4 linked regions of the Saccharomyces cerevisiae S288C genome follow. Changing the gene in region 4 together with the main gene of any one other region gives a genetic interaction. Each region holds a gene or a part of one and is shown on either strand. Other genes may lie near its edges.

What was found.
Region 1: mutations in YPL039W (region 4) and PMT7 together harm fitness more than expected from each alone (negative genetic interaction), as found in Saccharomyces cerevisiae (one large-scale study listed by BioGRID).
Region 2: mutations in YPL039W (region 4) and YHC3 together harm fitness more than expected from each alone (negative genetic interaction), as found in Saccharomyces cerevisiae (one large-scale study listed by BioGRID).
Region 3: mutations in YPL039W (region 4) and YJR098C together harm fitness more than expected from each alone (negative genetic interaction), as found in Saccharomyces cerevisiae (one large-scale study listed by BioGRID).

What each region holds. Positions count from the first base shown.
Region 1 is NC_001136.10:1,072,566-1,081,429, reverse strand, and holds PMT7 (putative dolichyl-phosphate-mannose--protein mannosyltransferase), read right to left. Parts: upstream 5,566-8,864; coding exon 3,577-5,565; downstream 1-3,576. Other genes in the region: SUM1 (Sum1p), read left to right, coding at 1-302; GIC2 (Gic2p), read left to right, coding at 1,231-2,382; SRB7 (Srb7p), read left to right, coding at 2,981-3,403; PFU1 (Pfu1p), read left to right, coding at 6,259-7,695; HNT2 (bis(5'-adenosyl)-triphosphatase), read left to right, coding at 7,942-8,028, 8,118-8,684. UniProt on the Saccharomyces cerevisiae protein: Probable protein O-mannosyltransferase involved in O-glycosylation which is essential for cell wall rigidity. Transfers mannose from Dol-P-mannose to Ser or Thr residues on proteins.
Region 2 is NC_001142.9:320,302-328,214, forward strand, and holds YHC3 (amino acid transporter YHC3), read left to right. Parts: upstream 1-4,662; coding exon 4,663-5,889; downstream 5,890-7,913. Other genes in the region: linker nucleoporin NUP82, read left to right, coding at 1-1,856; BNA3 (kynurenine--oxoglutarate transaminase), read left to right, coding at 3,085-4,419; BIT61 (Bit61p), read right to left, coding at 5,941-7,572; protein kinase IKS1, read right to left, coding at 7,817-7,913. UniProt on the Saccharomyces cerevisiae protein: Plays a role in vacuolar arginine transport. Involved in pH homeostasis. May be involved in ion homeostasis together with IST2. Not necessary for mitochondrial function or ATP synthase degradation.
Region 3 is NC_001142.9:609,190-618,169, reverse strand, and holds YJR098C (uncharacterized protein), read left to right. Parts: upstream 1-3,013; coding exon 3,014-4,984; downstream 4,985-8,980. Other genes in the region: AIM25 (Aim25p), read left to right, coding at 836-1,819; ubiquitin-specific protease YUH1, read right to left, coding at 1,884-2,594; JJJ3 (Jjj3p), read right to left, coding at 5,239-5,757; YJR096W (aldo-keto reductase superfamily protein), read right to left, coding at 6,127-6,975; SFC1 (Sfc1p), read right to left, coding at 7,429-8,397.
Region 4 is NC_001148.4:475,609-483,271, reverse strand, and holds YPL039W (uncharacterized protein), read right to left. Parts: upstream 4,048-7,663; coding exon 3,097-4,047; downstream 1-3,096. Other genes in the region: H(+)-exporting P2-type ATPase PMA2, read right to left, coding at 1-429; EGD1 (Egd1p), read left to right, coding at 1,371-1,844; MET31 (Met31p), read right to left, coding at 2,204-2,737; YPL038W-A (uncharacterized protein), read right to left, coding at 2,899-3,090; isoleucine--tRNA ligase ISM1, read left to right, coding at 4,271-7,279; MRX11 (Mrx11p), read left to right, coding at 7,531-7,663.

The sequences.
Region 1 (8,864 bases), on a different chromosome or scaffold from region 4:
TGCATGCGGTGAAAGAGATGGAAAACTACAGAATATTTATTAATCGATCCGTTTCATGGTTCTACAACCATATTACCCTGCTAAAAATGATCCTCTACGACCTCTGCGACAATGTGACCACTCAATGGAGAGAGTGGATGTTTCCCCATAACGAAACACTGCCGGCATTGGGTCAGGACGGCATTAACGAAGACAATCTGAATGAAACCATCGACAACATGTTAATTTTTGACTTCCTTGATGACGGTTCAGAAAACAACCAGGTCAAATATTCCAGAATCATACCGCCAGATATCCGTTAAGCTGGTCCGTACGTTGGGGCAGTTTCGAGAATAGATAAAAAAATGAAAAATAAAAAAAAATAAAAAAAACACAAAATAATGGACCGTTACTATGCCCAACCAAGTAACCTCCCAACTTATTTGGAACATTACATATTTAGCGCTTAACATTACATACATATTTAGCGCTTAACATTACATACACCTTTATCGACGAATTTGTAACTATTTCTTACTCTTGCGCTGAGGAACGCCCCAGTCGTACAAAAGCACCTCTGCATACTAAGAAACTTAAACTATCGCCATTGTCTCAAAATAGCAAAAAACGCAAAAAGCATACCGCTGGGCGCTTATCTATATTAACCTACACGAGAAAAGAAACATGATTGACTGCGTCAGATTCAAAAACCTGCAAAGTTTGTTTTTATAATTTTGGCGTTCAGCAAGCGCGCGGCTCCGCTCCATTAATATTCCAGAAAAAGAAATTCCTTCTTTGGGTGTTGTGTATTGCTACTTTGGGCAGGCGCGACCGGGCCAAAAGAATGCGGCACCCGGCAAAGACGCGTTCTGGCCCCTGAAGACTTAAGCACTGGAATGGCTCCGAGGATTGGTCACCCAGAAACAGGTGCAGACCAACCATTTCGAGATCTAGATGTTGCCTATTTCTCGAGGAAACGCTGCCGTTATCGCCATGTTTGGTGGAACAATTGTGAAACGTGATCAATTCGTGTTTGCAAGCTAGTGATCATTCGCATCCGAAAAAGAAACTGAAAATGTAAAACTCCAGTAAAACGAGACCTGTTGATGGATTGTTTCGTGTCTGGTATATATTATTGCTACTGCTCAAGAGAGCTTCTTTTTTTATGCTATCGAACTCGATCTTTCGCTCCGAAACACCTAACACTAACAAAAGGAATACCTGACAGAATACGCTATCAAAAGAACGAATATGACTAGTGCAAGTATTACCAATACTGGAAACGAAACCATGAACCTTCCACAGATGCGGTCGATTTGGCTGGATGAAGATGAAGAAGCTGAAAAACTCTACGGTCTGCAGGCCCAGCAATTCATGGGATCTGATGATGAAGAAAACCTAGGCATTACTTTCATCAACAGCGATAAACCTGTGCTGAGTAACAAGAAAAACATTGAGTTGCCTCCACTTTCACCAAATTCACATCCGTCTTGCCACCACAGGAGAAGTAATTCTAACTCTGCAAAGTCTAAAGAATCATCGTCATCATCGTCCAGCGCCAACAAGACAAATCACAAAAAGGTTTTCCTTAAGCTTAATTTGTTGAAGAAAAAGTTGCTTGGTGCCCAACCGGACATAAGAGGTAAAGGTATCTCCACACCATTTGATTTTCAACATATTTCACATGCTGACACTAGAAATGGATTCCAAGATGAGCAATTGCAGGAACCTTCATCGCTGTCCACAGAGATTAAGGACGACTATACCTCCTCCTCAAGCAAGCGGGATTCGAAATCACTAAATAAAGCTTTTGTCACTGAAAGGATCCCTGCTAATCGTGAAAGCAAACTCATTTCAAGATCGCACGAAAATAAGACATCAAGACTATCAGTCGCGCGTTCGATCTCAGTAACGTCCTCCAATTACTCTAAAAACACACAAGGAAACAATCATTCCATTAATGGGAGAGTCGTATCTACGTCAACTATGGCTACATCTATTTTTGAGTATTCCCCAAACGCATCTCCAAAACAATTTAAAAATAAGTCACACGCTCTGGGTCATAGATACACTAATTCCACGGATTCTAGTGAGTCTTCGCTGGATTTTTTGAAGAACTACAACTTCCCCACACTACTTGAAGATAAGCCTATTTTAGACTTCTTGCCTCGTTCTCAGAGGTCAAGCGCTTATCGTAGCCTTTTAGAGACCCCAAACTCAAATAAGGACTCAGCAAAAGCCTTCTTTCCTTCACGCCAAAGCCCTCTTCCCAAGAGAAGAAACTCTATAGCTACGCCTTCTCCACAATCTAAATTTTCCTACTCTGACTCCCCTGTAAACCATAGAAAATCTTTCGATGATGTTCTTTATTCTTTCAACCAGCTCGAGCCCCTGCAAACTTAAGCTAAGGACAGAAAATGAAAAAAAAAAAAAAAAAAAATTCAAAGAATCAGCTTATAAAACATATTCAAGGACCATCTGAAGTATCATTCATTCGTTTTTTACTCGTTAATCTCATTCATTCGTTTCCTCATTCTTTTTTCTTTGTTCTTTATTTCGGCTATTTTTTCACTATTAAAATAACTAGAGCTAACAATATTATTTCTTCTGCTTTAGTTACAAAACAAGGACATTCATTTAACTTGGCGTTATCCCATACATTCGTTTATTATATCTTCTTTTAAAACACAATTTCTTTTACAGTTAAACTTTTCTGATTTATTATATATTACTTAAGATTGTTCATATAACTAACATTTATATGCTTATATGCGTGAAGTGCGCTTTTGTAGAACATGTGGCTGTTTCTGTAGAAGCCTTGTCTTTCTCTGTAATCCTTTAAAGGCCAACCGTACGTGCTTAATTACAAGCTTTGTTCGCATTGCAAGAAAGTTAGAAAAAAAATCAATTCTGAAAGATAATTATAATTCAAACGGTAAACCATTGGTTAAAAGAGGGACATAACATTTCACTAGTTCAATACATTATATGCTCTTTAACAATGACAGATAGATTAACACAATTGCAGATATGTTTAGACCAAATGACGGAGCAATTCTGTGCTACTTTAAACTACATAGATAAGAACCATGGTTTTGAACGATTGACCGTAAATGAACCTCAGATGTCCGATAAGCATGCCACAGTAGTACCTCCTGAGGAATTTTCTAACACGATAGATGAGCTATCCACGGACATTATACTTAAAACAAGACAGATAAACAAGCTTATTGACTCGTTACCTGGTGTTGACGTTTCAGCTGAAGAGCAATTAAGGAAGATTGATATGTTGCAGAAAAAGCTAGTTGAAGTGGAAGACGAAAAAATTGAGGCCATCAAAAAGAAGGAGAAACTTTTAAGGCACGTTGATTCTTTAATTGAAGATTTTGTAGATGGCATTGCAAACTCAAAAAAGAGCACATAAACTTAAGTTTTACAAAGAAATTTGCGAACAGAGGACAGAAAATGTACTATAGTTATATGGCAGAGTTAAGCGTATGTATGTTATTCTTATAAATAATTGTGCTACTCTATTTGTACCGGAGAATTATTGAAGCAATGGGAGAAAAATCATAATGGAGAAAATCTTTCTACGAGTTACTTTGCAAGGCAATCTAACGATTCTAAAAGACACAATACACTAAAGAAAAAACTTTGGAAGTACAGTTTTTTCCCCAAGTTGAAGTGTGGACTCATTGTGAAGATGTAAAAATGTAAAAACCAACCGACAATGCACTCCCAGCCAAATTCATTGTAGACCTCCCATTTGATAGAAAAGGAAGGTTCAGCAGTTGTCCACGGATTCCAAGATATCATTCTCTTACATTGCACGCACATGAAAATGATCATCGAGAGTAAGGATCCATACCATGCAAAATTAAACCAAACTGGAGAGTCTGTGTCTAACGTAATTGGCCATTTTTCCACGGCGAACGCATCTTCAAAAGTGACCTTATTTTTACCGTATTTAATATAGTAATTGTACTTGTATTGTTTGAAAATATATTCTTTGAAAAGATAAAGAAATTGTGACCAAGATAAGGTATGATTGAATTCTGCTGAAGAACTTATTTTGCCGATATAATATTCTATCATTGGGACTTGGAAATCGACTGGTAGTTGTACTGAGTCTATTAGAAAAGTGGTTCTTGGTATTACTGGGTACTCCATACATAGGACTTCTTGCTCAAAGCGGCCCCATTCAGGTAACCGAAGATCATGGCCCAATAGCCCACATCTCTGGCCGTTATTGTAAAAGCGTATCTCTGATTGAAGCGGTTTAATGTATTTATCATCTGCGTTATCCTTTTTATCATTGTTGATTTCATCTTTAATCAGGAGAACATCCCATCTCTCATCCATTCCTCCTTCGTAGTTTGAATCTTTCGTGCATGAAATTTGAAAGTCATAGTCCTGCTCGCTGATGGGAGGTTTAGCAGTGCTGGCTCTCAATAATTTTCCAGTAGATTTGTGTCTTAGTTTTATACTTTGACCAAATTCTACAGGTATCAATTGATCAGCATGGTATACCTCAGAAAAACTCAAATTTAATGTAGGATGTTCTATTAACCATTCATTGTCTGCCGCGAATTCTTCAAATGATAACGCTACTAACTGTTCGTCAACATCTGATGGATACGAAATATCGTGAGAAGCAAGATATCCGACCATAGAATCTAAATGACGTAATGTGATCGTTGATCCATAGTACAATCGACTCGGTTGTACTTGAGGGCCTCTTAAATAGGACTTGAAATATGTGCTCATATATTTTGAAAATTGTGGCGTGTCTGTCTTAAAATTCGAAAGTAAGTTCGAATAACTTATTATGAAGATGGAACCAGGGATAATCAAAACGAATAATAGACAGAGAATGACAAATTTTATTATTTGGATGGTCGTAACTTTAACGTCGCTTATCAGTCTATCAAATTGACGTACAAAAGAAAGAATTACGAAGGCCCAAGTGACAATTCCAATAAATTTAGAAGAGATTGCCAGCCCTAAAGAAATAGATAATGTAATCACATTAGCAAACCAATTCGTAGTTCCCAGTTTTGCAATTGAAATGCTTATAAAACTGTAAATTACTACTGAGAACAGACACCATTCTAAACTGTCAAATGATATAATAGTGCCCTCATTTCTGAAAGTTTCCCAGTTGGATAATATCAGCAAACCTGTTGCTGAAATTAAACGAGAGCAATTGATTCTCCTTGTTATCAGGAAAAGAAAACCTAAAGTCGATGAATTCAAAAACAAAGAAACGTATCTTAAATTTTCTGCGATCTTTAATCTTCGAATAATGGAGTAGAACTGTATTGTAAATGGTGGCAATTCATGGATGTAAAAAGCCTTGTCTAGGTAAAACTGAATTAATTGGGAAAGTTCTTGTTCACTATTATTGTCCCATGGTCGGTTCCAGAATGAAGAAGAGTGCGATTTCCATATTAATGTGAAATTGGTAATAACAATCAAAAACGCGAAAATATAATCAAGCGTCTTTAAGTGACCAATTCCACATTGTTGGAAAATATTATAGGGAATGTACTTTCTGTAGGGCCCCTGTAATCTCAAGTCCTTCATGTTTTGTAAGTTAATTTTTTTCTGTTCAAACACTATCGCCCTTAAGTGTCTACGTTCTTATTCTCCTTAAATAATAACATTTTTAGTATTCGATTTTCTATTTTTCCTTTCTTCATTACTTCATTACCAAAGTAAGAGTGACCGATGTAGGAAGCAATATTGAAAGGAAGGGAAGGGGAGCACAATGAAACAAAGGGTTAGTGTGATGAAAACGACAGGAAGTAACTATAAGAAGCAGTAAAGTTGAGACTTGCTGCACCATTTTTATTGCCACACCTTTATTAGTTCTTTATGAATCCTAAGCTGTCATCCGTAATATTGTTCCAATAGTGTAGCGGCTATCACGTTGCCTTCACACGGCAAAGGTCCCGAGTTCGATCCTCGGTTGGAACATTTGTTTTTTCACTACTACTATATTTTTAGTTGAATCCTAGGCCACATTTAATTGACTAATAGACTTAAGATCGAGATTAGTAATCTTCTGACTTTTTTCTACTGTGTAATTGTTGAATGATAGTCTCTATTTTATTGTTAAAGCCCTGCGGCCGGGTTACCTCTTCATGAGGGGTAAGGGTTGTCAATACAAGATGTGTCTAGTATTGAGAGTAATATGACGGCATCGTCAAGATTTGTACATCGACAAACATGTGCAACAGCTCTAACACATAATCATATCAACCACAGTACTCAGTAATGGCAAACAAATCACGACCCAAGAAAATCAAGGCTCCTTACAGGAAGTACGTGGCGGGAGAGGGTTTCTCCTCTACAAGAAATGATAATAAGGCTAAAGAATTCACTATCACTATACCGGAGGATGCAGAACTCATTGAGACTCCACAGGGGTCTTATTACTATGATGAAACCAATGATACTATAGTGAAATTGACACGACTGAGTAATGAAAAAAAGGATAAAAAAGGACGTAAGCAGTCGCCATCGTCATCATCGACATCGTCCTCCAAAGGAGAAAAAAATGGCAAAGTCATAGAGAGTGAGGAAGCGAGGATGCATTCAGTATCAGTAAAGATGGTTTTGCCATGGGAGATACAGCATAGAATAATTCATTATCTTGATATACCAGAGAAAGAAGAAAAATTAAATAAAACTGCTAATGGAAAAAAAACTACGACTGGTATAAATATGAACTACTTACTAGTTTGCAGAAACTGGTACGCCATGTGTCTACCAAAGCTTTATTATGCACCAGCGTTAACAAGTAAGAATTTCAACGGGTTTGTTGATACAATAATCATAAATAAAAAGAAGAATTTAGGACACTATGTTTTTGAGTTGAACTTGTCTACAATTTTACAAAGTGGTAGAAATTCATTTGTCTCCAAGCTTTTACGACGATGCTGTTCTAACCTAACTAAATTCATCGCACCACAGACAAGCTTTGGTTACGCGCCTTTGATTTCATTGAAATCGTGTCATGATTTGAAATTTTTAGACTTGGGTTTAGTATCGGAAACAGTTAAGCTGAAGGAGTTATTTTCTGCCATTAAAAATTTCACTAAATTAACGCATTTATCTTTTCCCAGATCGTCGATTGACTGCCAAGGGTTCCAAGATATTCAATGGCCACAGAATCTCAGGTACTTGAAATTGAGTGGAGGTATAACAAATGAATTTGTGATTGATACGAAATGGCCAACAACTATTACAACTTTAGAATTCTCTTATTGTCCTCAAATAACGGAATTGTCTATTTATTCGTTGTTATCACAGATCGGTGATAATTTAAAGCATTTATTTTTTCATTATCCGATGCCATCTCTGGCAGAAAATTCCCTAGACCATGTCTTCACGTACTGTGCTAATTTAATTTCTTTGCAGCTCATGGTTGATTACTGTTCTAAGTGGTGCTTTTCTGAATTCATGCTAAGTAAATTGGTGGAATATGATAGGCCTCTTAAAACATTGTACTTAGAATGCAGCGGATCCTTGGGATTAGCTTCTAAGATTCATCCCGATGACTTGACTATAGCCATACTGGAATCCAGGCTGCCCTGCCTAAAGAATATTTGTGTTTCTCCCAAGCTGGGGTGGAACATGAAAAGCGATGAAGTCGCTGATTTGGTAGTCTCTTTGGAAGATCAAGATGGCAGTTTATATCTTAATTATTAAAATGTTCATTGTTTGTTTTATAAGAGTCAGTGTTTTCTTTTAGACACTATTAGGAAGAATTATTTTATCCGGCCTAAAAAAAATATTTTACATGCAAACTTGCATATATTTTGCCATTGACACCAATTAGAATGTGTAATTTTCCTGGTTTATACGTTTCTCAAGATATGGTCGAATCTTCTTTTCTGCTCAATTGTAAGAAGCGAAGAAAAAAAGGAAGCTCCATTGATCTATCTTGGGCTCAGAATGATCTTAAGCAAAACAAAGAAACCTAAAAGCATGAATAAGCCAATATATTTCAGCAAGTTTCTTGTAACTGAACAAGTTTTCTATGTATGCACTCTCATATGTTTTTTTGTACCCCATTCGCACCATTGCGTTACTAACTATATGGAGACCTTATAATCTCTGCTTCTTTACAGAAGTCAAAATATACGTATGCATTGGTAAACTTGAAACCAATTGTACCCGGACATGTACTGATCGTTCCACTGAGAACTACGGTTTTAAACTTATCAGATCTGACCATGCCTGAATCTCAAGATTATTTCAAGACTTTACAGTTAATACATAGATTTATTAAGTGGCAATATAAGGCTGACTCTATCAACGTTGCCATCCAAGATGGACCTGAGGCCGGACAGTCGGTACCCCACTTGCATACACACATTATTCCACGTTATAAAATAAACAATGTAGGGGATTTAATATACGATAAATTAGATCATTGGGATGGTAATGGGACTTTGACTGATTGGCAAGGAAGAAGAGACGAATATTTGGGTGTTGGTGGTAGGCAAGCAAGAAAAAATAACTCTACATCGGCCACTGTAGACGGGGATGAACTCTCACAAGGTCCTAATGTCTTGAAGCCAGACAGTCAAAGGAAGGTTCGAGCTTTAACCGAAATGAAAAAAGAAGCTGAGGATCTTCAAGCCAGACTAGAAGAATTTGTATCTTCTGATCCTGGTTTAACACAATGGTTATAGTTCAATAAATAATAGATTCATACTTACGATATAAAAAATAGTAGGGAAGTTAATTTTCGTTTCGCAGCGAATCCCTTTTAGCAGAGGAAAAAAAAGATGAAACCATCCTTACTACTTTCCTCGAGGAGACTCAACAGTAAAGGTTACTTTCAATTCAATAAACAAAAGGCACAGCGATAT
Region 2 (7,913 bases), on a different chromosome or scaffold from region 4:
GCTATTCCAACGTTGAAGACGTTTCCATTCAAGATGCATTCCAAATTTTCCACTATTCAATTGATGAAGAAGAAGTTGGTCCGAAATCGTCCATTAAGAAAGTTTTGTTTCATCCAAAGAGTTATCGTGATTCTTGTATAGTGGTTTTGAAAGAGGATGACACTATCACGATGTTTGACATCCTTAATTCGCAAGAAAAGCCTATCGTTTTGAACAAACCGAACAACTCCTTTGGTTTAGATGCACGTGTTAACGACATCACAGATTTAGAATTCAGTAAGGACGGATTGACGTTATATTGTCTAAACACCACAGAAGGCGGTGATATCTTTGCATTTTATCCATTTTTACCGTCAGTATTACTGTTAAATGAGAAAGATCTCAACTTGATCCTAAACAAATCTTTAGTAATGTACGAGTCCCTGGATTCTACAACAGATGTTATAGTTAAAAGGAATGTTATTAAGCAGTTACAGTTTGTGTCAAAACTGCATGAAAATTGGAATTCAAGATTTGGCAAAGTCGACATACAAAAGGAATATCGTTTAGCCAAGGTTCAAGGACCATTCACGATAAACCCCTTTCCCGGCGAGCTGTATGACTATACTGCTACAAATATTGCAACCATACTAATTGATAATGGGCAAAATGAAATTGTTTGTGTCAGTTTTGATGATGGGTCTTTAATCTTACTCTTCAAAGATTTGGAAATGTCAATGTCGTGGGATGTTGACAATTACGTGTATAATAATTCTTTGGTTCTAATTGAACGAGTCAAACTACAAAGAGAAATTAAGTCTCTAATAACGTTACCTGAACAGTTGGGAAAACTTTATGTCATTTCCGATAATATTATACAACAAGTAAATTTTATGAGCTGGGCTTCTACATTGAGTAAATGTATCAACGAATCGGATTTGAATCCACTTGCAGGATTGAAATTTGAAAGTAAACTTGAGGATATTGCCACCATAGAAAGAATTCCAAACCTAGCGTATATCAACTGGAATGACCAATCTAATTTAGCCTTGATGTCGAATAAAACATTGACTTTTCAAAATATTTCAAGCGATATGAAACCGCAAAGCACCGCAGCTGAAACAAGTATCAGTACAGAAAAAAGTGACACGGTAGGAGATGGTTTTAAAATGAGTTTCACACAGCCCATAAATGAGATTCTTATTTTGAACGATAATTTTCAAAAAGCCTGTATTAGTCCATGTGAACGAATTATCCCATCAGCAGACCGCCAGATACCTTTAAAAAACGAAGCTAGTGAAAATCAGTTGGAAATTTTCACGGATATTTCCAAAGAATTTTTGCAAAGAATTGTTAAAGCTCAAACTTTGGGTGTTTCTATCCACAATAGAATTCATGAGCAACAGTTCGAATTGACGCGCCAACTACAATCGACATGCAAAATAATTTCAAAGGATGATGATTTAAGGAGAAAATTCGAAGCACAAAATAAGAAATGGGATGCACAACTAAGCAGACAGTCAGAATTAATGGAGAGATTTAGTAAATTGAGCAAGAAGCTATCTCAAATCGCCGAATCCAATAAATTTAAAGAAAAGAAAATAAGCCATGGTGAGATGAAATGGTTCAAAGAGATACGAAACCAAATATTGCAATTCAACAGCTTTGTTCACTCTCAAAAATCCCTTCAACAAGATTTATCGTACTTGAAGAGTGAACTAACTCGTATCGAGGCAGAAACTATCAAAGTCGATAAAAAGAGCCAAAACGAATGGGATGAGCTACGCAAAATGCTTGAAATAGATTCAAAGATAATTAAAGAATGCAATGAAGAATTGTTACAAGTTTCTCAGGAATTTACTACTAAAACTCAATGAGTAAGCGACTTGCATAGTCTGCTATCATATATGTACGCTAAGAAACAACTGGGCAATGGTATAATATCATGTAGCAAGAGGACATTATATATGAATTGGTCAATATATAAAGCCTTCTGTGCACCAAATCGTTAGGATGATTTTTCAGTATGCTGTATCATTGTATCGTATATTCATTCGTATCTCTTTTACCTCACTAACCGCTGCCAAAATTTACATGTATACAAAATAAAAGTCTTTTTTATGACCTTATTTGGTGAGTAATGCTACTTTTGTAAAGAGTGATGGAAACTATTATTCCAAAGGGTTAGAAGAAGGTGAGGAATACGTTCATATCACCGCTACAGATCGTGTCTCTCGGTTATGAGTAATCAAACCCTCTGCAAGCAACACAGTTACTTTTTTTCGGTTTTTTCTTTTCGTGTGAATTTTTATCCAGTGAGTTTCCTTGTTCACTTTCGAGAATGGAAGGCTGATTTCGAATTTTTATATTCAACAACTGTATTTGTATTAGGCTTTGCAATAGTAGATGAAAAGTGCAGAAGACGAATCTGCTACCCTCACAATACAAAGAAAAACAAAATCGTCATTTTAATATAGGAAGACACCGCTCAGGTAATTCAATATTGAATCTGGTTGCACTTTTCTTACGATGTAAATACCCACAAACTTCTTGTACGGTGAGCGTCTGACAACGAAATCAATTTACGGAGCAAGGATTTTGACAGTAGAGCAGATTGTTTTGAGTAGGATTTAGGAATCAAGACCTCCATCTTTGTCGCATTATTCCTAAATGTAACGTAACTCGTTTGATAAGAGAATGTCTAATCGAAGAGAGTTAATAACTTAATAAGCTCTTTAAAAGAACGATGGCATTTATCGTCTCCTATGCCAAGATAATTACTGGCTCAAAATTGTTCAGCGTTCATAAAACTTTGATATCACTTTCTGGCGCACAAGCTAACCTTTATGTAGTTCTTACGTAGATTCTTTTTAGCAAGTGCCTGGTAGTGGTTATTACATAAATGTATCTTTTCATTTGATAACAATTTCTTCAGTAGCATGTCGTGTCTAGCACGTGACGTAGAACTGTGGCTTTTTTGTTGTCATTATGACAATCAAGATACCAAAATTCAGTCATGTTTAAAAGGGGAAGGTACGATAGAGATATATATAAAGTGTTCAATTTACTATAATTGCGTATAGAATCCATTGTTACTTGCTCTCAATGAAACAACGATTCATTCGTCAATTTACGAACCTAATGTCTACTTCGAGACCGAAAGTTGTTGCCAACAAATATTTCACTTCTAACACTGCCAAAGATGTTTGGTCGCTAACCAATGAAGCCGCTGCAAAAGCTGCCAATAACTCCAAAAACCAAGGCCGTGAACTTATTAATTTAGGCCAAGGCTTTTTTTCATATTCCCCTCCTCAATTCGCCATTAAGGAGGCTCAGAAAGCCCTAGACATTCCAATGGTCAATCAATATTCTCCAACTAGAGGTCGACCTTCATTAATTAATTCCTTGATTAAGTTGTATTCTCCTATTTATAACACAGAATTGAAAGCGGAAAATGTTACCGTAACAACAGGTGCCAATGAAGGTATACTTTCTTGCTTGATGGGGCTTTTGAACGCTGGCGACGAGGTTATTGTTTTTGAACCTTTCTTTGACCAATATATTCCAAATATCGAACTTTGCGGTGGTAAAGTTGTTTACGTCCCCATAAATCCTCCAAAGGAATTGGATCAAAGGAATACTAGAGGTGAAGAATGGACCATTGACTTTGAGCAGTTCGAAAAAGCGATTACATCCAAGACAAAAGCTGTCATTATCAATACCCCTCACAACCCAATTGGTAAAGTTTTCACGCGCGAGGAATTAACCACTTTAGGTAACATTTGCGTCAAGCACAACGTTGTGATTATATCTGATGAAGTCTATGAACACCTTTACTTCACTGATTCTTTCACTAGAATTGCCACACTCTCTCCAGAAATTGGGCAACTAACCTTAACGGTCGGTTCTGCCGGTAAATCGTTTGCTGCTACTGGTTGGAGAATTGGTTGGGTCTTATCCTTGAACGCAGAGTTGTTAAGTTATGCAGCTAAGGCACATACAAGAATTTGTTTTGCATCTCCATCCCCTCTACAGGAAGCTTGTGCAAACTCTATTAACGACGCTTTAAAAATTGGGTATTTTGAAAAAATGAGACAGGAATATATCAACAAATTCAAAATTTTCACATCGATCTTTGATGAATTGGGACTACCATATACAGCTCCAGAGGGTACATATTTTGTCCTCGTTGATTTCTCTAAAGTGAAAATTCCCGAGGACTATCCCTACCCAGAGGAGATCCTGAATAAGGGAAAAGATTTTCGCATTTCTCACTGGTTGATCAATGAATTAGGTGTGGTTGCCATTCCACCAACTGAATTCTATATCAAAGAGCACGAAAAGGCTGCTGAGAATTTGTTAAGGTTTGCAGTTTGTAAAGATGATGCTTATCTAGAAAATGCCGTAGAGAGATTAAAACTACTCAAGGACTACTTATAAGATAAATTTTTTTTTATACTCCTTTTTCTCAATATATAGATTTTATAAAGCATGTATATTTTTATGCAGAAGTGGTAAATATAAACATCAATATTCCAGAATAATTCCATATTTTCTTCGCGTACTACAAGAAAAAGTGAACCCTTAATGAAAAATAGACAATATGAACATTTAGTAATGTTTTGAACAGTGTATTTATAGAGTACTTAAACACATATGAAGATATAGCGCAAGTAAATATAAATGAGTGACAAATCTCATCAGATATATTGCTACTTTTGGCTCTTTGGTTTGATCAATAATGTACTTTATGTGGTAATACTTTCAGCAGCTGTTGATATCGTGGGTCCTACCTTGCCTAAATCTCTAGTATTGCTAGCAGATATATTCCCATCACTCGCCATTAAATTGTGTTCCCCATTCTTTATTGATAGAATCAAGTACAGCTATAGAATATGGTCTTTGATCACGATGAGTTGCTTAGGAATGTTCTTAGTTTCTTTTAAAAACTTGTTTGTTTGTCTTTTAGGAATATCTTTCGCATCTATATCTTCCGGATTTGGAGAAGTGACATTCCTACAGCTAACACACTATTACAAACAAATTTCTTTGAATGGATGGTCGTCAGGTACTGGTGGTGCAGGAATCATTGGCGGAGCATCTTATATGTTCTTAACTTCAATCTTTAAAGTTCCAGTGAAGCTAACTTTACTAGTATTTAGTCTCCTTCCATTTGCATTTTTGTTTTATTTTAAATTAGAATCCAATGATACCAACCTGACTTACCAAAGTCTTCAACAAATTGACGAAGCAGAGGATGACCAGTTGGTGCCCTTTCCTGTCGCCTTTACACATACCAACGCTTCGCAATCCCTGTATTCTACAAGACAGCACATTTTGCAAACGGTCAAGAGACTTCGAAGATTGGTTTTTCCATACATGGTTCCATTGACCACCGTCTACTTATTCGAATATTTAATAAACCAAGCGGTAGCTCCGACCCTATTATTTCCGATTAATGGTGATGAAAGAAGTAAATCGATGCCATTTTTCTTCCATAAATACAGAGATATATACGTAACCTATGGAACGCTCTACCAATTAGGTGTCTTTATATCAAGATCCTTTGGACATCTTATGAGAATGAGGAGTTTATACATCTTAGCGTTTTTACAAGGTGTGAATTTGTGCATAACGGTACTGCAATCATGGTTTTATGTCACACATTCGCCCTGGGCGGTGATGATATTAATATTCTATGAGGGTTTTCTTGGTGGTGCGTCATATGTTAACACATTCTTAAATATTCTCGAACAAGAGGATCCTGATGAAACAGAGTTCGCCATGGGTGCTGTGTCCATCGCTGATTCCTTTGGCGTTTTTTTGGCTGCGTTACTTGGTTTGGGGCTAGAACCCAAACTTTGTAGGCATCAAATTGCCGATGACAGACCTTGGTGTAGGATGGAATAAAGTTTTGTTGTGATATTAAATAGGAGATTGAAATAAAGTGTTAGATGCTTTCTATATACTCATTCTAATGCCTGCTAATAACTCTTCGATAATTCGTTGATTTCTATCATTACTTTGAATGGTACTCAATATGCCAAAACACTGCAGTAATGTCAATTTATCTGTTTCTGTGACATTACTTTCTTCTTCTTGATTGAAAATGTAAAGTTGAAAACTTTTGCTGATACCATCGTTACTATTTACGAAGTTTTCATAACAAGGTAAGACTATTGAATCTCTAAAGCACATAAGCAAAAGAAACCCAATAGAATAATTACCATTAATGTGAGTCCGACTTTCATTGCCTGACTTTAAAACCGTAGAATTACCATCTTCTCTGATACTCTGATCCAACGGTAATAACACAGCGGCTAAATCATAATATACCTCTTGATAAAATATCCGCCATATAACGCCTAATCTTTTCAATGCGTTATTTATTGTGTCTTCATTAGAATAGTTAAAAACAATTTGGTTTTCTAAATTGTATAGGGAACTAACCAAAAATTCTTTCAAATCGCTGATAATTCTATTCATGCCGCTATGTGTGACTCTTGGATCTGTTTTTAAAATGCAATAGAATTCTAAAACTTCGTTAAAATTTTCTATTTTGGCCCTGAGTTTCCATATTCTTTGAGTTCTGAATAATTCTGCTACGTTACTACAAAATATATTCCAAATATTATTTGTTAGGGTTGTCAGTTCTTGGGAGTTGAAGTGTTTATAGTTAGCTTCCAGAGATGGTAAATTTCTTAAAAGGTCGTGTAACATTGAGACCGGATTCGGTGAGGCAGGATCAGTTCCAGAAAGCGGATCCTCAACGATTGTGTTGGGATTGACACCAGATGGATTAACATTCAATGAGTACACAGAAGTTCCTGAGTCCACAAGTTGCCCCGCATTAGTATGAATAAATTGTGACGGAGATTTATGTCTTCCGTAAGAGGAATGCAGAAATTTACTCAAGGAATTTGGAATTGCAGGCTCGATAGCATCTTGACCAATGTGCCTGTGGCTTTTATTTTGGAAAAAGTTCTTAATCACGTTTCGAAATGAATGTGAACTATTATGTAAGGTGCTTGAATCTGTCAAAAAGGAGGCAGGATCCGATGAAATGGTCGTATGTGCTCTGTTTCTCCTATTAAAAAAGCCAGAAGCCTTTCCTTTCATATACCTGCCGGAGGGCGTGGAGTGTAAACTTTTCTGAGTAATGGATATTGCATCAGAAGATAACTTTTTAGATAGATTGTTCGAGCACTCCACCGTGTCAACGCTATGAGATTCCCCTATCTGAGAAGAACCAGATTTAGATGTTGCAGCTGAGGCATTGTCATTGCTCCTCAAGGAATGATTTGAGGCCACACTGACCTTCGATCGAGGATGATCTACTGTATGGAATATGGATTGGAAGCCAACGTTAGAAACACTAGGGCTAATGGGGTTCCTCGAGCCCTTCAAATTCTTGATGGAATAAACGTCATCATTTGATGTGTCTACAAGAGTTTGCCGGCTAATCTCGCTTGTAGTCTGAAAATTTTTTACTGGGGCTGTGGCTAATTGCACATTAAGGTATTGTTCGCTATTGACAGGGCGTTGTGTCGTAGTAGATGTTCTTTCTCGAAGGAGTATATCTTCTGCTGTCATAATGAAAGAACTTTATTTCTACAGAGGTCAATTGGCGTTTCTGTCACCTAGATCTTTTCATTTGGTTATTCCCTCTATAAATTTACTCATCGGTCAATTTTTCTAACATTATGCACCTTTGTCACCGGCCCTTAGAAGAGGTGAAGATGATTCGTGAACATTGGTGATAAGCGAGAATATTTTCTATAAATTTGTAAAGTAAAAATAAATTACGTGCTATTTAGTTTGCAATGTGTACTTATTGTTAGTATATGTATTTTTTGCATGCGGCGATGAAGGCCAGTAAAACCAACGCTCTTGCATGCTTACCTCTTTCATCAGCTGGTGATTTAAAAACCATT
Region 3 (8,980 bases), on a different chromosome or scaffold from region 4:
ATATCCTCTTATTGTGAAAAGACTTTTGCTATACCCTTCTTACTTTTCCATGCTTTGCGATACTTCTTGCTCAGTCCAAAAAAGTACTGCGGCACCTCTCCTAAGATTCTTGGAAAGATGGGAAGTGAAAAAAAAAAATACAAAAAATAATGAGAGCTAAGGGATTCGAACCCTTGCATCCGAAGATATCAGAGATTTTAGAGGTTAAATCCACCTAAATCTGACGCCTTAAACCACTCGGCCAAACTCCCATTGTTTGTTGAATGGACTTCATAAACAATCGCATATCATTGATTGGTTACTTTTTAAGAAGGGATTGATGCCAAAGTCAGATGGTAACCATTGGATCAAGTGATAACACGTTTAAATGAAACAGTACCCATTTCTATAGACCAGATACCACGGAAGGATTACTGTAGAGGTGAGATATGAGATAGAGGGAATTGCCATTCGGTTAATAGCATATATAGGTTTTTATATGGAAGATTTGTGGGGCAATTGATTACCTTGTCAAAAATATATATAATATCTTGGAGCTGTAAAGGAAAGGCAATGTACAAAATCGACCAAGAGCTTTACTAAGTCTGGACAGTCGTTTGTCTGCCGATGTGGAAAAATAGCTTTCAATATAGTTATAGGAAGAATTTTCATAACAAGTGCGCGGTCTTGTTCCCCTTAACAGGTTCCGAACCTAGTATGGGAGAGGTTTCATTGACTTCGTTATATACTTCATTCAAGTTTGTAAGCCTACCGGCAATAAGGATTTGAAAAGTACGAAATGAAAAAAGACAAAACAAAAGAAGATTAAAGGTCAAACATAAAGGATAACACCGACATGCATAGAACGGCAATATTTCTAACTTACCGATCATGTATGAGAAATTTCAGTACACTGAGTAAAACATTAACGGTTTCTTCTGGTAAAGTAATCAGAAACGGTCCATTTAGGAGAGTAATTCGTGAAAAGAACCAAATAACGAAGGCGCCATCAGTAAAAGCATTTAAAGAAAATAGCAATAGCGGGATAATAAAAGTACATGATCCTATAGCTACTACGATACTTAATGAACCGACAGTTATTATCGAAAGGCAAATAGAATTTATGAACGTTTTTCTAGGTTTCGAGCAGGCTAATAGGTATGCCATAATGGATGTGAACGGAAACAAAATAGCATCAATGATGGAAAGAGATTTTTCTATAACAAAGGCCATAATGCGGCAGTTTTATCGTCTACATCGTCCTTTTTTGGTAGATGTCTTTGATAATTGGGGAAATGTAATAATGACGATTAAAAGGCCCTTTTCGTTCATCAATTCTCATATAAAGACTATCATACCTCCTTCCGCGTATGTTGATAATGGCAGTGACTCCACTCACTATCACGACGGTAAAGAAGGAACGACAGTAGGAGAGACCATTCAGAACTGGCATCTCTGGAGGCGTCGTTACGAATTATTCCAGAAAGATGGAGTAGAAGGATCCACTTTTGACCAATTTGGTAAGATAGATGCACCTTTCTTATCATTTGATTTTCCTGTAACAGATGCTGATGGTAAGATAATGGCGAGTGTAGACAGAAATTGGGTTGGTTTAGGAAGAGAAATGTTTACCGATACTGGTGTTTATGTTGTTAGATTTGATTCGCAGAGATGCTTTGATAATATTTATCCTACTGAGATGCTAAGTTCTCAAGTACTAACTTTGGATCAAAGGGCCGTGTTATTAGCAAACGCTGTGTCCATCGATTTCGATTATTTTTCGAGACATTCCAGACAAACTGGAGGTTTCCTTTCTTTTGGCGGTGGCTATGATGAGTAGGTGAATTATATATTTAAAAGAATTCTGTAAATACATATTTGACTACGCAGTAATAAAACAATTATTATTCCCAATTAGGGCCCAATCCTAGCATAGCAAAGTTTAATACATCTTCTTCATTTGCATTTTCCATATATGAGGCGACTCTCACTCTAACTAATTCCTGTTCAATCAAATCGGTGGCAGTTGGGTCACTCTTTCCCAAATAGAGGGGTCCGCTCAAATTCCTTCCATCCAGTTCAAATATCCCTCCGTTCTCTTCCACATATGTGATATAGTGTAGATTAGTATCTGCAGTTGCTTCTGGTGCTTCTGACTGGCCAGTAGAAAATGTTTGTACATTCTCTTTTATTACATTCAAGACGAATTGGTCGGTAGTAACATCATCAAACCTATTCTTCGAGCTTGAAGTATCACTTTGAGATTTTAAAAAATTGTCCAAGTCGGAGCCGGGCTCCAACAATGACTGGTTATTGCTCAAAGAATGAAGAATTGCATACAATCCGCACGCATTTTTGACTGATTGCTTAAACCATATAACATCATAAGAACTTGTAATTTGTTGACTGGTACTCGATTTTCTATCCTCGTTTATCGGAAATAGCAGCACAATGGCCTTCACTGGCCTTGGTAAGAATGCTAGTAACTCTGGCTCTGTTAAGCTATAGATATCGAAATACGCCCATTCATTTTTTAAACCTAATTTATGTGCAAAATTTGTAAAAACTTCAGGGTTTGATTCAATCGGCACCACAGCACGATTTTCTCCGCTCATACTTTTGCTATTGTATTTTTATAACGATTGTTACTTACTTGTTGATCAAAATACCCTTAATATCTCTTAAGTATGGACTTCCACCTTTATAGTCGACTAAATAAAAATACTTCTACTGAGGAAGTTTAAAACACGGAAAAATTGTTCCAGATCATTATCTGCACTGGTTTTTGGGGCGTTGATAGGCATGTTCACACTTCCTAACTCGACCACAGACATCTCCAAGAATACAAGGTACTTCAATCCGGGTAATAAAACGTCAGGAAGTTTTGAGAAGTTAATAGCTCATCACTGCATTCTCAAAAAATGCTTACAACTCTATGACGCCCTTAAAAAGAAAGGACTGGGTAAGAATAGCCTGCCTATTTTGGTGATACGTAAAAGAATCAACTTGTAGAGGTTAACTGGGGAGTATTACAATGATGGCAACTCCGGCTACTGATCTTATTTCCGATAATGATAAATATAACAAGCAATGTCTTTCTGATTCAAGTGATAGTGGTAGTGATGTAAGCTTTTTTTCCGTAAATGAAAGCGAAGGTGAATTGGATACAATGGAGAAAGTGGATACCTTGATTGGAGGTGCAAGAGTTATAAGCAATAAAGTAGAAAAAGACAGCGATAGTGAACAAAGGGGAAGAAAGAAGGAAACAACTGGGCCCAATAACTATCATAATTTAGAAGAGAAGCAAGCGAGTGCCATTTCTCTTGACGCTGATGATGAAGATCTCGATGAAATTATTTCTTATTCGCATGACGGGAACTATGACAGCTCTCATAAAACTTTCTCCTTTTCCTTACCATTTGGTAATACAAATTTCCGATCAAGTTCACCATTAGCCATAATTAAAACTGTGCTTCCCAAGACTCCAGATGAGTTCATCAAAAAGAATCTAAGAAAGAATGAGATCAAGCAAAAACTGAAAAAATCAACCTCCATTTCTTCCTTGGAAGAGATAGAATTATTTAAATACGAAAGGGGCATTGATAATTCAAGGTTAAGGGCTGTTAAAGAATCTTTGGAAATGGATGCCTTGAAGAACTCCATTAAGCAAATAACAGCAGACCCATTCGACAAAACTCATGACGGATATTACCGTTCGCGTTTAGAATCTATATGGAATGAATTGGAAGGAGATGTCGTTATAATGGGTGGATATCGAGGTAGTGTGCTAAGGGATGCTACTACTCATAAGCGAATTTGGATCCCATTAAAGGCAGGTTTGAATATGACGAAAGTCGATTTATTGATCGGACCTAATGACGAAGATGAACTTAAAACTCAGAAGGAGATTGTCCCTGATGGAATGCTAACACATATAGGGCCTGTTGATATCTCTAAGAGGTTGATAAAGAGGCTAGACGCAAATCCTAATTTAAATGTTCAGCAGTTTGGCTATGATTGGAGATTATCCTTGGACATATCTGCCAAGCATTTAACGACTAAACTAGAGGAAATTTACAATAAGCAAAAAAATAAGAAGGGAATATACATCATTGCCCATTCAATGGGCGGATTGGTCGCACATAAAGTGTTGCAAGACTGTACTCATTTGATAAGAGGTATTATTTACGTGGGTTCCCCAAGCCAATGTCCAAATATTTTAGGTCCTATTAGGTTTGGAGATGATGTGATGTGGAATAAAACTATTTTCACTAAAGAAACCAACTTTTTTATGAGAAGTAGTTTCTATTTTCTACCGTTAGATGGTAGATGTTTTGTTGACAAAATTACCTTAGAGAGGTATGATTTCGATTTTTTTGATACAGATGTTTGGAAAACCCTTGGCTTGTCACCTCTCGTCAATGAGAAAAGAGAGGAATCAGCTCACGAAAAATCAAAATTATTACCAAGGAAAACGAAATCAGCGCTTTCGCTTAAAGCTACCCTAAACGCAACTACCAAGTTTGTCCTAAATGCACCTGTTGTTAGGAATGTAGCCGGCAATAATAAACAGGTACCAAGGGATGTGCCTTTCGATGAAGTCTTCCATACATCTTATGAAGATAGCTGTGAATATTTAGCGAGAACTTTAAAACGTACAAAGAATTATTTGGATAGCTTAGATTACGACCCGAACAAAGAATATCCTCCATTGGCCATGGTTTACGGTAACAAGGTTCCCACTGTTAGAGGTGCTAAAGTGAACGGTATACAAGATATAAAAGATGGGAATTATGAAGATTTTTACTATGGTCCGGGCGACGGTGTTGTTCACCATAAATGGTTATTGCCTGAACAGAGAGGCTTTCCAGTTGTTTGTAAAATCGCCAGTTCTTCAGGTCATGTTAGCTTAATGACGGATTTGAAATCAATGGCAAAAGCATTCATATCTATCGTCGACAGCGAAAAAGAAGGAAGAAGATCTCGAACACGAACTTCTTCATGAAAGGCTTTTTATTCCTTTGTTTACTATTCATATCTGCATTTTTCTTTTTACCAAAATTCCGCATGTCAAAAAAAATCTGGCAACGCACCGCGAATAAAAATAAATAATATTTTTTTATCTTTAGTTGCCTAAATACTATTTATTTCGTCAATTTTACAACCTCTTTTATATACACCATTCGATTTCCCACGAAGTAAAATAATAATTCTATAAACAGATTTATCTGATATGCTCAATTTCCCCTCCCATTTTCATTATTGTCCTTCTTGCTCTTCCTCGATGTCAAAATTAACCTTCAGCCATAAGCTGCATGCGCTACATTGGGTTAATAATTGATAACCAGAATGACTCCGTTCCATAGCGTCTACATTATCAATGCATTCATCTAACAAACTCTCACTAAAATGAAAACCACCAACAAATTGACAGCGAGGACAATTCATCATAAACTCCAGCTTATCTTCATCAAATGAGAAATCGTCTAAGGAAAATTCATCCAGCCCATCACCACAATTATGAAATCCTTGGCGTTTATAGTTTTCAAGGATCAACCTATCATATTCGCGACGAGTTTTTATATTCGATAGTATTTTATAAGCATCTTGAATCTTATTGATTGTGACGTTGCTAACCGTATCATGTATGCTTTTAGAAAGTTTATCGGGGTGCGTATTTAGTAACCGATTCCTATATGCCTTTTTGATTTCATCTTGTGTTGCATCCGATGGAATTCTTAAAATTTCGTAGTGTGTTAACGAATTCACCAATGACATTTTCGCTAAATTTTCACACCAAAAGAAAGATTAAATTGGAGATAAATACAATACAAAGAGCGTGGTAAATTTCTTAGTTGATTGCGCTTATCTTTTGGCACCGATAGTGGTTTTTACAATGGTAAGACTAGTAACGTCACATCGAAGTCATCGCATCCATTTACAATTTTTCTGAAAATTTCCATCTCCAGTTACCCGCTCATAAATCTTCAAGAAAAGTCAATGATTTCCTTTTCTACCTCTAGCAGCTCCTTTAATCTTTGATTTAGATCGAAAGTCCTGAAAAAGCTACATGTAATATTAATACTTTGTGAAACGTAAACTAATTATATGTTCTATATACGTTATTCTACGGTTCGCATTTTCTTTTTATGGCGCGTCTGTGCATTCCCAATCGGTAGGCTCATAAGCATCAGGATGATCAAGAAATTTCATCTGTTCGTCTGACAGTTCAAAGTTGTAGGCTGCAAGGTTACCTTCTAACCTCTTCACAGTTTTAGTCTTCGGTAGTGGTAAATAACCGTGTTGTAAAGACCAACGAATCAAAACTTGACCTGGATTACGGTCCACCTCTTTGCAAACTTTTAATAAATCTGGATTAGTCATTTTGTAGCCGTGACACAATGGGGCAAAGGCTTCGACGACGAGACCTTTAGATTTACAGTAATCTGCTAATTCTTGTCTCATAATCCAAGGTGATATCTCGATTTGGTTGACCACTGGCTTGTGCTTCAGTTCTGGCCAGTTCAAAAGTTCATCAATGTGCTTTTTCCCATAGTTGGAAACCCCTATAGACTTAACCAATCCTTCATCAACCGCTTCTTGCATGGCGCGCCAAGTTTCCAACCTTAATTTAGAACCTTCCAGTGGCGAATGAATCAAAAGAAGATCGATGTATTGCAAGCCCGAGACTTCATTCAAACATTGCCGAATGGCAGCTTTAGCTCTTTTATATCCGTTTTGCGAATTCCATAATTTAGTAGTGTAGAAGATTTCCTCACGTTTATGGTTCCCTGGATCTTCGTTCAACCATTTAATGATACCATCGCCAACTTCCTTCTCATTACCATAAAGAACAGCAGTATCGAAATGACGGTAGCCGCACTTGACACCTTCATACACAATTTCGGCTGTTTGCGATCTTGGAATATCGTAGGTTCCCAAAGCAATGCTTGGGATTTTGAAGCCGTTTGAAAGTTTGTAAAACTTAGGAACCATGTTGTTGAGGTGAATTTTTTTTCTTCCTTCGGGCTAGGTATGCTAAGTTAATTACTAAAGTAAGATCAGTTGCTTATGCTCTTATATATTGGAGGTTGCGACAAGGGATGAAAGAAAGAGACACCTCCCCTCATATCGACACGACGGAATATGTATGATAACTACTTCATTGTTCTTTTCAGCACATTATTACTATTTACGAAAAAAGGGAGTAGGGAAAAATGGCGCGCTTATGGAGCCTCAAATAAGGACAAAAAAGTCAAGTAATGAATATCAAATTGAAATGAGTATGCTTACATAGATTTATTTGGTTTGTTTTCATTTTGTTTTTGTTTCTTATGTTGCTGCTTTATTTTGTGTAGGTAATAAGGAAGAATAGGGCGATTAATAATTGATCTTCTAGCCTATTTCTATTTTTTCTTTATTTCATTTTGTAGTCCCATTGTTCATCATCTACTTTAATGGCTTTGGCTTTGGTGTGTCATTCTTCTTGAATATACCCAAATTTTCTAAATGCTCCCTTACATATTCATAAACGGTAAAGGTGACAGCCTGACCTGGAGCCACCCTCATCACTCTTGGGGTAATACCCTTGTACAAAGCTCTAAAACCTTCTTCTTTCAGTAGTTGAGCACCAATGGTTATGATTTTCTTCATACCGGACTGTTTTTCCAATGAGATGGACTTATCCTTTTGCAGCCTTGTCTTTATAGTATCCAATGGAGCGTTGGAAAACGGCCCAATAGCACCCGAAATCAAACCTATGCAAGAAGTTTCCCATGAAGGTAGGACATCCATCTGATGGTAATTCTGCAAAAACTCCTTCAGTTTAGAATAAACTGTGAAGTTAGCACCCTGATTAGTTGCTTGCCTTGCCGCAGTTAAGGAAACGCCTCTATATAAGGCAGAAACACCTTCTTCTTTGACAATAGTGTAGGCTGCATGAATGGCGTTGTTATATTTAGGACCAGCATTTGGCTCACTCGGAGTTAAATGCTGAGCTTGTAACCTAATCTTTACAACTTCCATCGGGTTCACGACAAGAACAGCTTCGGTGATACCAGCCCCAACACCAGCAACAAAAGTATTACCGGTAGACACAATTCCTGATTCCTTGTTAACCAATAAGGTTCTATAGAATTCATAAGACGAGAAACGGATTGCCATCTTAGGTATAATACCGATGACCACAGCACCTAGACCTTTATACAGAGCCAAGAAACCTTCTTTTTGATAAATGGTACGCCCAGTTTTAATAAATCCTGGGGGTTTAACATGTTCAATACCAGCTACCCGTCTGTATATTTGCATTCTCACCTTAATTGTATCTAAAGGATGACAACACAATGCTTCAAATAAACCTGCTGTGCCGCCAGCCATGAGATTGATGGCTGGATGGGAAGCCTTCTTTTTTTGAGACATTTTTCTTTCTTCTTCTTTGTTATGTTATCTTACGGCTAAAACTAATATAAACTTCTTTCTTGAATCAAGTATTCTTAGTTTTAGTAATAGGGAAGATGCCAAGTTTCTTTCAATGACTCAATTGATAATATCTTCCAAAATGCTTTGCACTTTACTTATGAAGCAGATAGAAAACAAAGGGGGAAACGCCAAGAACAAGAAGAACTACAACAAGAAAGTTAACAAAACGAGAACAAGTAGTAAGTGAACTATATATTTATACATAAGATATATGCAAAATGTGACATTACGGTTTGTAAAAGGTAGTAACTCCGTGGCGACAAGAATCTCAAAGGATTGGTTAAAAGATAGCACCTCGAGCAGTAGTACTACCGTATATCATCATTGCCTCCATCATCACACTTTATTATGACAATGAGGACTAATCATTAACACCGACCCATCAAATTTGGGCCCTTCGTCACAATTAAGGTCCGTTTGCGGTTTACCGGGACTAGGCTGGTACTGTCATACGATGTGGTATCTGGTAGACATGGGCGGTTAATAATTCATGGCTCATTCGCCAACGTCCATTTCTCCGGGC
Region 4 (7,663 bases):
CACAATCAACGATTCATTCTCCTCAGCCATTTGATTTAACCCATATTTCTTTCTTCTCCTGGCGACTTCATCCGAAGTCAAACCATACGCAGGGTCCGTAGAAAGGTCCTTTTCAGGAACAACCCTTTGGCCAGCGTGCACCCCATCAGTACGTACTTCTTCTTCACCAGATTCATCACCCTCACCGTAGTTAGATTGTAGTTCATCAATCAATTGGTCTATATCTTCATCTGAGTCAGAATCATCAGCGGCAGAAGCGGCTGCGGCCTTCCGTGGAACGGCTGCAGCCGATGACGAGGCGGAAGTTGATGTAGAAGACGAAGATGACGAAGAAGCGGCAGAATTATTTGCAGGGTCATCGCCATCACTGGCATGGAGGTACTCTTTCGAGGGTTTCTCCTTGTATTGCTTTGCTTCAGTGGAAGACATAACGCAAAACAGTTTCCTTTTGCTTAAATTGTACTAGCACACAGCAACGAAAAATGAAAAAAAAAAAGTTATGGGTATGTTTAAAAAAGCCCAGTAGCTTGGATACAGTAGGTTATCCAGCAAGAAATGCTGGAAGAAATAATAGATGGTAAAAGAGGATATTACACACCTTTATATAACGAAGTACCATCACACCGCCAATTACGTTTAGGGGACGCCGACAAGAAGTAAATTCACTATTATGTACTTACAAATATGTTTCCACCGATAACCTTTCCCCCTTCGACGGTTATTTGAGCAGCGTCTGTCCGCCATTTTTCCAGAGAAGCTACTTCATCAATCAATTGACTTCGCAATTCCCTTAAACAAAAAAAATTTCTTTTGCCCTCCCTCGACGATTTTGGAGTAGAGAATACCTTAGGCCTTTTTTTTTCTTTTTTCTCACGGCTGCTCTTCCTCTTTTTCGCATATTCTATTTTATCATCGACTTCCCTAATTCGCACTCGTACCAAAATGTTAAGCAGTATGGCGAAGAACGTGGCGCGCTGGAGTCGTGAATGTTTGGGTCCTTGATGATGGACTACGGTAGTAAGTATGTAGTAGTTGCAACTTCATATGTTCACTTCTGATCCAAGGAAGAGCGGTTATGAATTAATCTCTTGGCATGAGCGGACGGGTAAGGGGACACCGCCTTTTCTTCGATGGGAATCAGGGTAATGGTATATGATGGATTATTGTGGAATCATTTAGTACGGCAGATGTTGAAAAAAAAAGCAGAAAATTTTTGAATTTTTTTCGTTGACATTGGAAGATTTCGTAGTGGAAACAGCTGCAATTGCTTGTTAAGTAGTAACCCCTCCTTTGTCACAAGAGAGCGAATATTCTTTCTAGGGAGGTTTAAGAATAGAACATCTCACACCAGACGCGACTCATAATTCATAATGCCAATTGACCAAGAAAAATTAGCTAAGCTACAAAAGTTGTCTGCTAACAACAAAGTTGGTGGTACTAGAAGAAAGCTTAACAAGAAGGCAGGCTCTTCTGCCGGTGCCAACAAGGATGACACCAAGTTGCAAAGTCAATTAGCTAAGTTGCACGCTGTCACCATTGACAACGTCGCCGAAGCCAACTTTTTCAAGGACGACGGTAAGGTCATGCACTTCAACAAGGTCGGTGTCCAAGTTGCTGCTCAACACAACACTTCTGTATTCTACGGTCTACCACAGGAAAAGAACTTGCAAGATTTGTTCCCAGGTATTATCTCTCAATTGGGCCCTGAAGCCATCCAAGCCTTGTCTCAATTGGCTGCCCAAATGGAAAAGCACGAAGCCAAGGCTCCAGCTGATGCTGAAAAGAAGGATGAAGCTATTCCAGAGTTAGTTGAAGGTCAAACTTTTGATGCTGACGTCGAATAAATAACTTAATCTTTAATTTTAACGTTAAATAAAAAAACACATATTTTGTTCCATTTTTTTTCATTTTTTTTAGCATATCTAAAGCATATAATACAAACACTGTTTTCTGCAAAAAAAAAAAAATAAAAAATAAAATATAAAAAAACAATATACCACACTATGCTGCACACGTGAAATGATGAACTTGTACGTCACCACTTTGTGCGCAAAAAATTGGCAAAAGTAGAGAACATGTCACTAACTGTATCGGAATATTACAACGTTTTTTTATTCTACTTATCTCAATGGCTAAAGTATATATCTATCTATATATGTATGTGTAGGTGTGCTGATGGAGACAAATACGTTTTCCTCTAGCCTTACAACAGGCCGGTACCATTCTTTATCGCATCCTTGATGAGCTCATCTACATCAACGTCTGAACCTTCACTTAGTTTCTTTCTGTTTCTTTGACAGGTCAGTGTGTTAGAATGTCTTTTTAGAGCATCCTTCCTGGCAAACCCTTTGCCACAGTTTGAGCAAATATGCGGCAGCACGAGTGAGTGTACCTTTTCATGTCTTCTCAGATCAGAACTTCTGCTGAATTTCAACTGACATTTCGCACAGCTGTAGAGCTGTGCGCCTTCCTTGCTATGGTTGTTACCTCCTGTTCTTTTTGTTTGTGTTTCTGGAATCCTTATAAGACCTCTAGCCATATTTTCCGGCTCCCCAGCCTTTAAAACATTTTCTGGTGCTGGTATAACTGCGCTCAATGGGCTGGATTGTCGAATTCTGTGGAGTAGCTCTCGTATTATGGGGTCCGTATGAGTGGGACTTGATGAGATTACCGCTATAGCTTCTGCCGCTTGTTTGAGAAATATTTCATCTACATTCATGTCTTGCGCCAGTTTCATATGCACATATAGACTATCGACTGTGTATATTGAGCCCAACTTGTTAATGATCAAATCTCTTTACGTACTGAGGAACGGCTTTTTCTTTTTCTTACCCATGTTATATTTTGCATTAGAACAAAAAAAAAATTGATGGGCTAGCAAAATTTTTAGACTAAAATTTAGAGGCAAGATATGGTTCTGTAAGACTCGAAAAAATTCTCATAATATATACTTGCTTGTGTGAAAGTGTTCTTTTGTTTTGTTTTTTTTTCTTGTGTATAATTATACATGTTTTTTTTGCCTTTTGTACTCAAGAAATCATAAATGGAAATAAAAATGACCCTTGAATGATGAACAAAACGACAAACCATACTTTATTAAACTATCCTAAAAGCTTCTTGTACTAACTTTTTACCCATTTTGTTAAACTCCTGTAATTCTGTCACCAAAACATATCCGTTACTTTGACCCGACCATTCACCAGAGTCACTTACTTGGGTGGGTTCGATCCCACACTCAATTAATGATCTAGAATGCAAACCATTTGGTGTGTCTGGGATAAACGTAGTTTGTCGATATGTATCGGCATCAGCCCCCATGCTATGCGTTTCTTCATGTTCCGACCGCCTATCTTGGCCTTCCCCATCGGAATGGCTATGAAGCGAGTATGCCCTTGTATGTACATGTAGATCATCAGCTGACCTATTGGTAGAGAAAAAAGGTGATGCTGATGAATTGGAGTTCATAAAAGAACTTCTGAGGAAGTACGAATGTTGTTCACGTCGAGATAACATTTGCCTGCGTTGTTGTCTACTCCGCCGAATAAGTACAGGCCTCACAATAGAACAACAATTTATCACTTCTTCCAGTGGCAAGCCTGTTATCTGGGAATAGAGATGATAGGTTTCATCCCTCGTGGTAATCCTGTCGCGGTCATCGCCTACAACATTTGGCACACTTAAGATGAAAGCAGCTACAAATAGTTTGTGTAAGCTGAACTTTAAAAACTTCATGTAGTTAGTTTCCTTCGAGCAGCAATCTAGAAACTTGATGACAATGCAACAGACCTTTTTGAACTGTAAATGCGATGATTTGGCTCTGTGTAGGATTATTTCTAAAAATTTGGTTGTTTTCAAATGATTTGTGCCAATAATTGCATTGTCATCATCACTAGGCATGGTAACTAATAGGCTCGCATACCGCTGCATAATCCCCTTAGTCACTTGCGCTATCATGAACTTTTTCAATACCACTTTTTGCTTTTTAAATGACAACTCAGCAGATGCCATGTTATCAGCACCGCTCAAATTATACTCCTCTTTCAGCATCCCCCAGCGTGAATAATTCTACCCCGTATTCTTTAAATATTTAACATAGATGGCGATGATGTGTCGCCCCATATAATGTACTTTAAAAACAATAAAATCCTGTTCTGAAAATGTCGATTCTTTTTCCGCAAGCGAGTTAAGAAACGCAGAAAAACAGCAAATATAAAGGACCAAGGCTAGAAGTTATGGAACACAGTATACTAAGAACGATCTTTAGCTACTTATGAAGCGCTCCAGGCTTGTGCCTCAACATATCTTTAGCATTATTAGCAAGCGATATCTCGCCAAACATGCCTACCAAAAAACATTAAACTTGCCCAAGACCAAATTCCCTAATAGATCAAACTTAGAGATTACATTGAGGGAATTAATACCAAAATCTTCGCAGTTAGTTTACAAGGAGCAGCTACGTGATTTCTTCGAAGAATTTTCAAAGCTTAATACGACTGATGAAAAATTAGAGTTCATTAAAGAAAAGTTGTTCATCTTACATGATGGACCGCCCTATGCCAACGGCGAGCTCCATCTCGGTCATGCTCTAAATAAAATTCTGAAAGATATCATAAACAGATATCAACTTTCACAGGGGAAGTACATTTTTTATAAGCCTGGCTGGGATTGTCATGGACTACCCATCGAGATTAAAGCTTTGAAAGATTTAAGCGCGCAACAGATCGAGTCAATATCGCCTTTAAAAATCAGGTCAATGGCTTTAAAACATGCACAAAAGGCAATCAAGAGGCAAAGGGAAACTTTCCAACATTTTGCCATCTTAACGGACTGGGAAACACCATACCTAACAATGGATAAAGACTATGAAATTAATCAGCTAAATATTTTTAAAGAAATGTACGAAAGAGGACTGATTAAGAGACAGAACAAACCGGTTTACTGGGGTACAGAAACTAGAACAGCGTTAGCAGAGGGCGAATTAGAATATAATGAAAACCATAAATCCATCGCTGCTTATGTTAAATTTCCTCTTGAAAAGAAATCCCAGATGGATCTGTGCAAAAAACTAGGAATAACGAATAACTTGCCTATATACTGTTTGATTTGGACCAGTACTCCATGGACTCTTCTCTCTAATCGAGCAATCTGTTTCAATCAGGATTTTTCCTACTCCCTATTACGCTTAAATAGTGAACTTATCCTTGTAGAGACCGGCTCCATTGATAAATTGGGCCTAACAACTAACTCATTTGAGACTATCAAACAGTTTCAAGGAACTCATCTAAATGGGCTATATTATCAAAACCTCTTAGTAGACGATAAGGTTGGCAGGCCCTTATTACATGGTGCACACGTTACCAGCGGTACAGGGACTGGATTGGTTCATACAGCACCAGGGCATGGACAGGATGACTATCTCATTGGTATTCAAAATGGTCTTGAAATTTATTCTCCCGTGGATCACCAGGGCCGCTACCAATTAAATGAACTTCCTCAGTCCGTCAGATCCATCGTGAGAGATGAAGGAGACTTAACAAAAGGTAGGCAAGTATTGGATGCCGAAACCGCGAAAATCATTCTATGTAAGTTAAGCGACCTTAATTTACTTTACAAATCTCACGAATACACGCATTCTTATCCGTACGACTGGAGATCCAAGAAACCTGTCATAATAAGAGCTACTCCACAGTGGTTTGCAGATTTACACGATGTAAAAAACTTGGCTCTGGAAAGCATCAGCCGCGTCAAGTTTTGTCCTAAAAGAGGCTATTCAAGACTTTCATCCTTTATGAAAAGCAGAAATGAATGGTGCATATCTAGGCAACGCTCATGGGGTATCCCTATATTAAGCTTTTACAAGAAGAGCGAACCGGATTCTGTTTTGATGAATTCAGAAATTTTGGCACATGCCATAGAAAAAATCAAACAAAAAGGAATTAATGCATGGTTTAACGATAAAGATAATGACATGAAAGAATGGTTGCCAGAAAAATATCACGACGTAGCGCATGAATACTGTCGTTCTCAAGATACTATGGATGTGTGGTTTGATAGTGGGTCGTCATGGAGTGTGATCAAAGACTTTTATGAAAAAAGCTTAAAGTTGTCAAAACTCCCATCCCCCCTGTACCAAGTTTGTCTAGAAGGATCTGATCAACATAGAGGATGGTTTCAAAGTTCACTGCTAACAAAAGTAGCATCAAGTAATGTCCCTGTTGCACCATATGAAGAAGTGATTACTCATGGTTTTACCCTAGATGAGAATGGTCTGAAAATGTCAAAATCTGTGGGAAATACAATTTCTCCCGAAGCAATAATTCGAGGCGATGAAAACTTAGGCTTACCAGCTTTGGGTGTTGATGGCTTGAGGTATCTGATAGCACAATCGAATTTCACAACTGATATAGTTGCTGGCCCGACTGTGATGAAACATGTAGGAGAAGCTCTAAAAAAGGTTAGACTAACTTTTCGCTATTTATTGAGTAATTTACAGAAGTCCCAAGATTTCAACCTTTTGCCGATTGAACAATTACGCCGTGTTGATCAATATACCTTGTATAAGATAAACGAACTGCTGGAAACGACGAGAGAACACTACCAAAAGTACAACTTTTCCAAGGTTCTCATTACTCTACAATATCATTTAAATAACGAGCTATCGGCGTTTTATTTTGATATCTCAAAGGATATTTTATATTCCAACCAAATATCGTCATTGGCAAGAAGGCAGGTCCAAACAACGCTTGTCCATATACTAAATGCATATAGGGCAATTCTTGCACCAATATTACCCGTTATGGTCCAAGAAGTATGGAAGTATATACCAGAAGGATGGTTACAAGGACAAGAACATATAGACATTAATCCGATGCGTGGAAAATGGCCGTTTTTGGACTCAAATACGGAAATCGTCACCTCCTTTGAAAACTTTGAACTAAAAATTCTAAAACAGTTCCAGGAGGAATTCAAGAGGTTAAGTCTAGAAGAAGGTGTCACCAAAACAACACATAGTCACGTTACCATTTTCACCAAGCATCACCTCCCATTCAGTTCTGACGAGCTTTGCGACATATTGCAATCATCTGCTGTTGATATATTGCAAATGGACGATAATAATAACAGTCTACCAACTATTGAATTGGGAAGCGGAATAAACGTTCAAATATTGGTTGAACGAAGCAAAAGGCACAACTGTCCCAGATGTTGGAAGGCCAACTCAGCCGAAGAGGATAAATTGTGTGACAGATGTAAAGAAGCTGTGGATCATCTCATGTCTTGAATGACATGTACCTTTCCTGTATATAAAGAATGCCAATTATTGGCTCTTAGAAAATAAAAACCCTCTTGTACTTATTAGTGGGTACCTAACAGGTCCCCTACTGACATTTTGATGCAGGGCCTCGGCCTATTGTTCTTACCAGCTCTCAGCGCGTTATACGAACAGGAAGCAAAGAAGAGAAATGTAAAAATATTGCTTTTGAGAGACCGTGTAAGGATAAGTGTTACACCCAAGGCACCCTCACCAGGAACATGACTGTCATGAATCTTTTCTTCAGGCCCTGTCAACTGCAGATGGGCTCTGGACCGTTGGAGCTCATGCTTAAAAGGCCAACGCAATTGACCACGTTTATGAACACCAGGCCCGGCGGATCAACCCAAATTA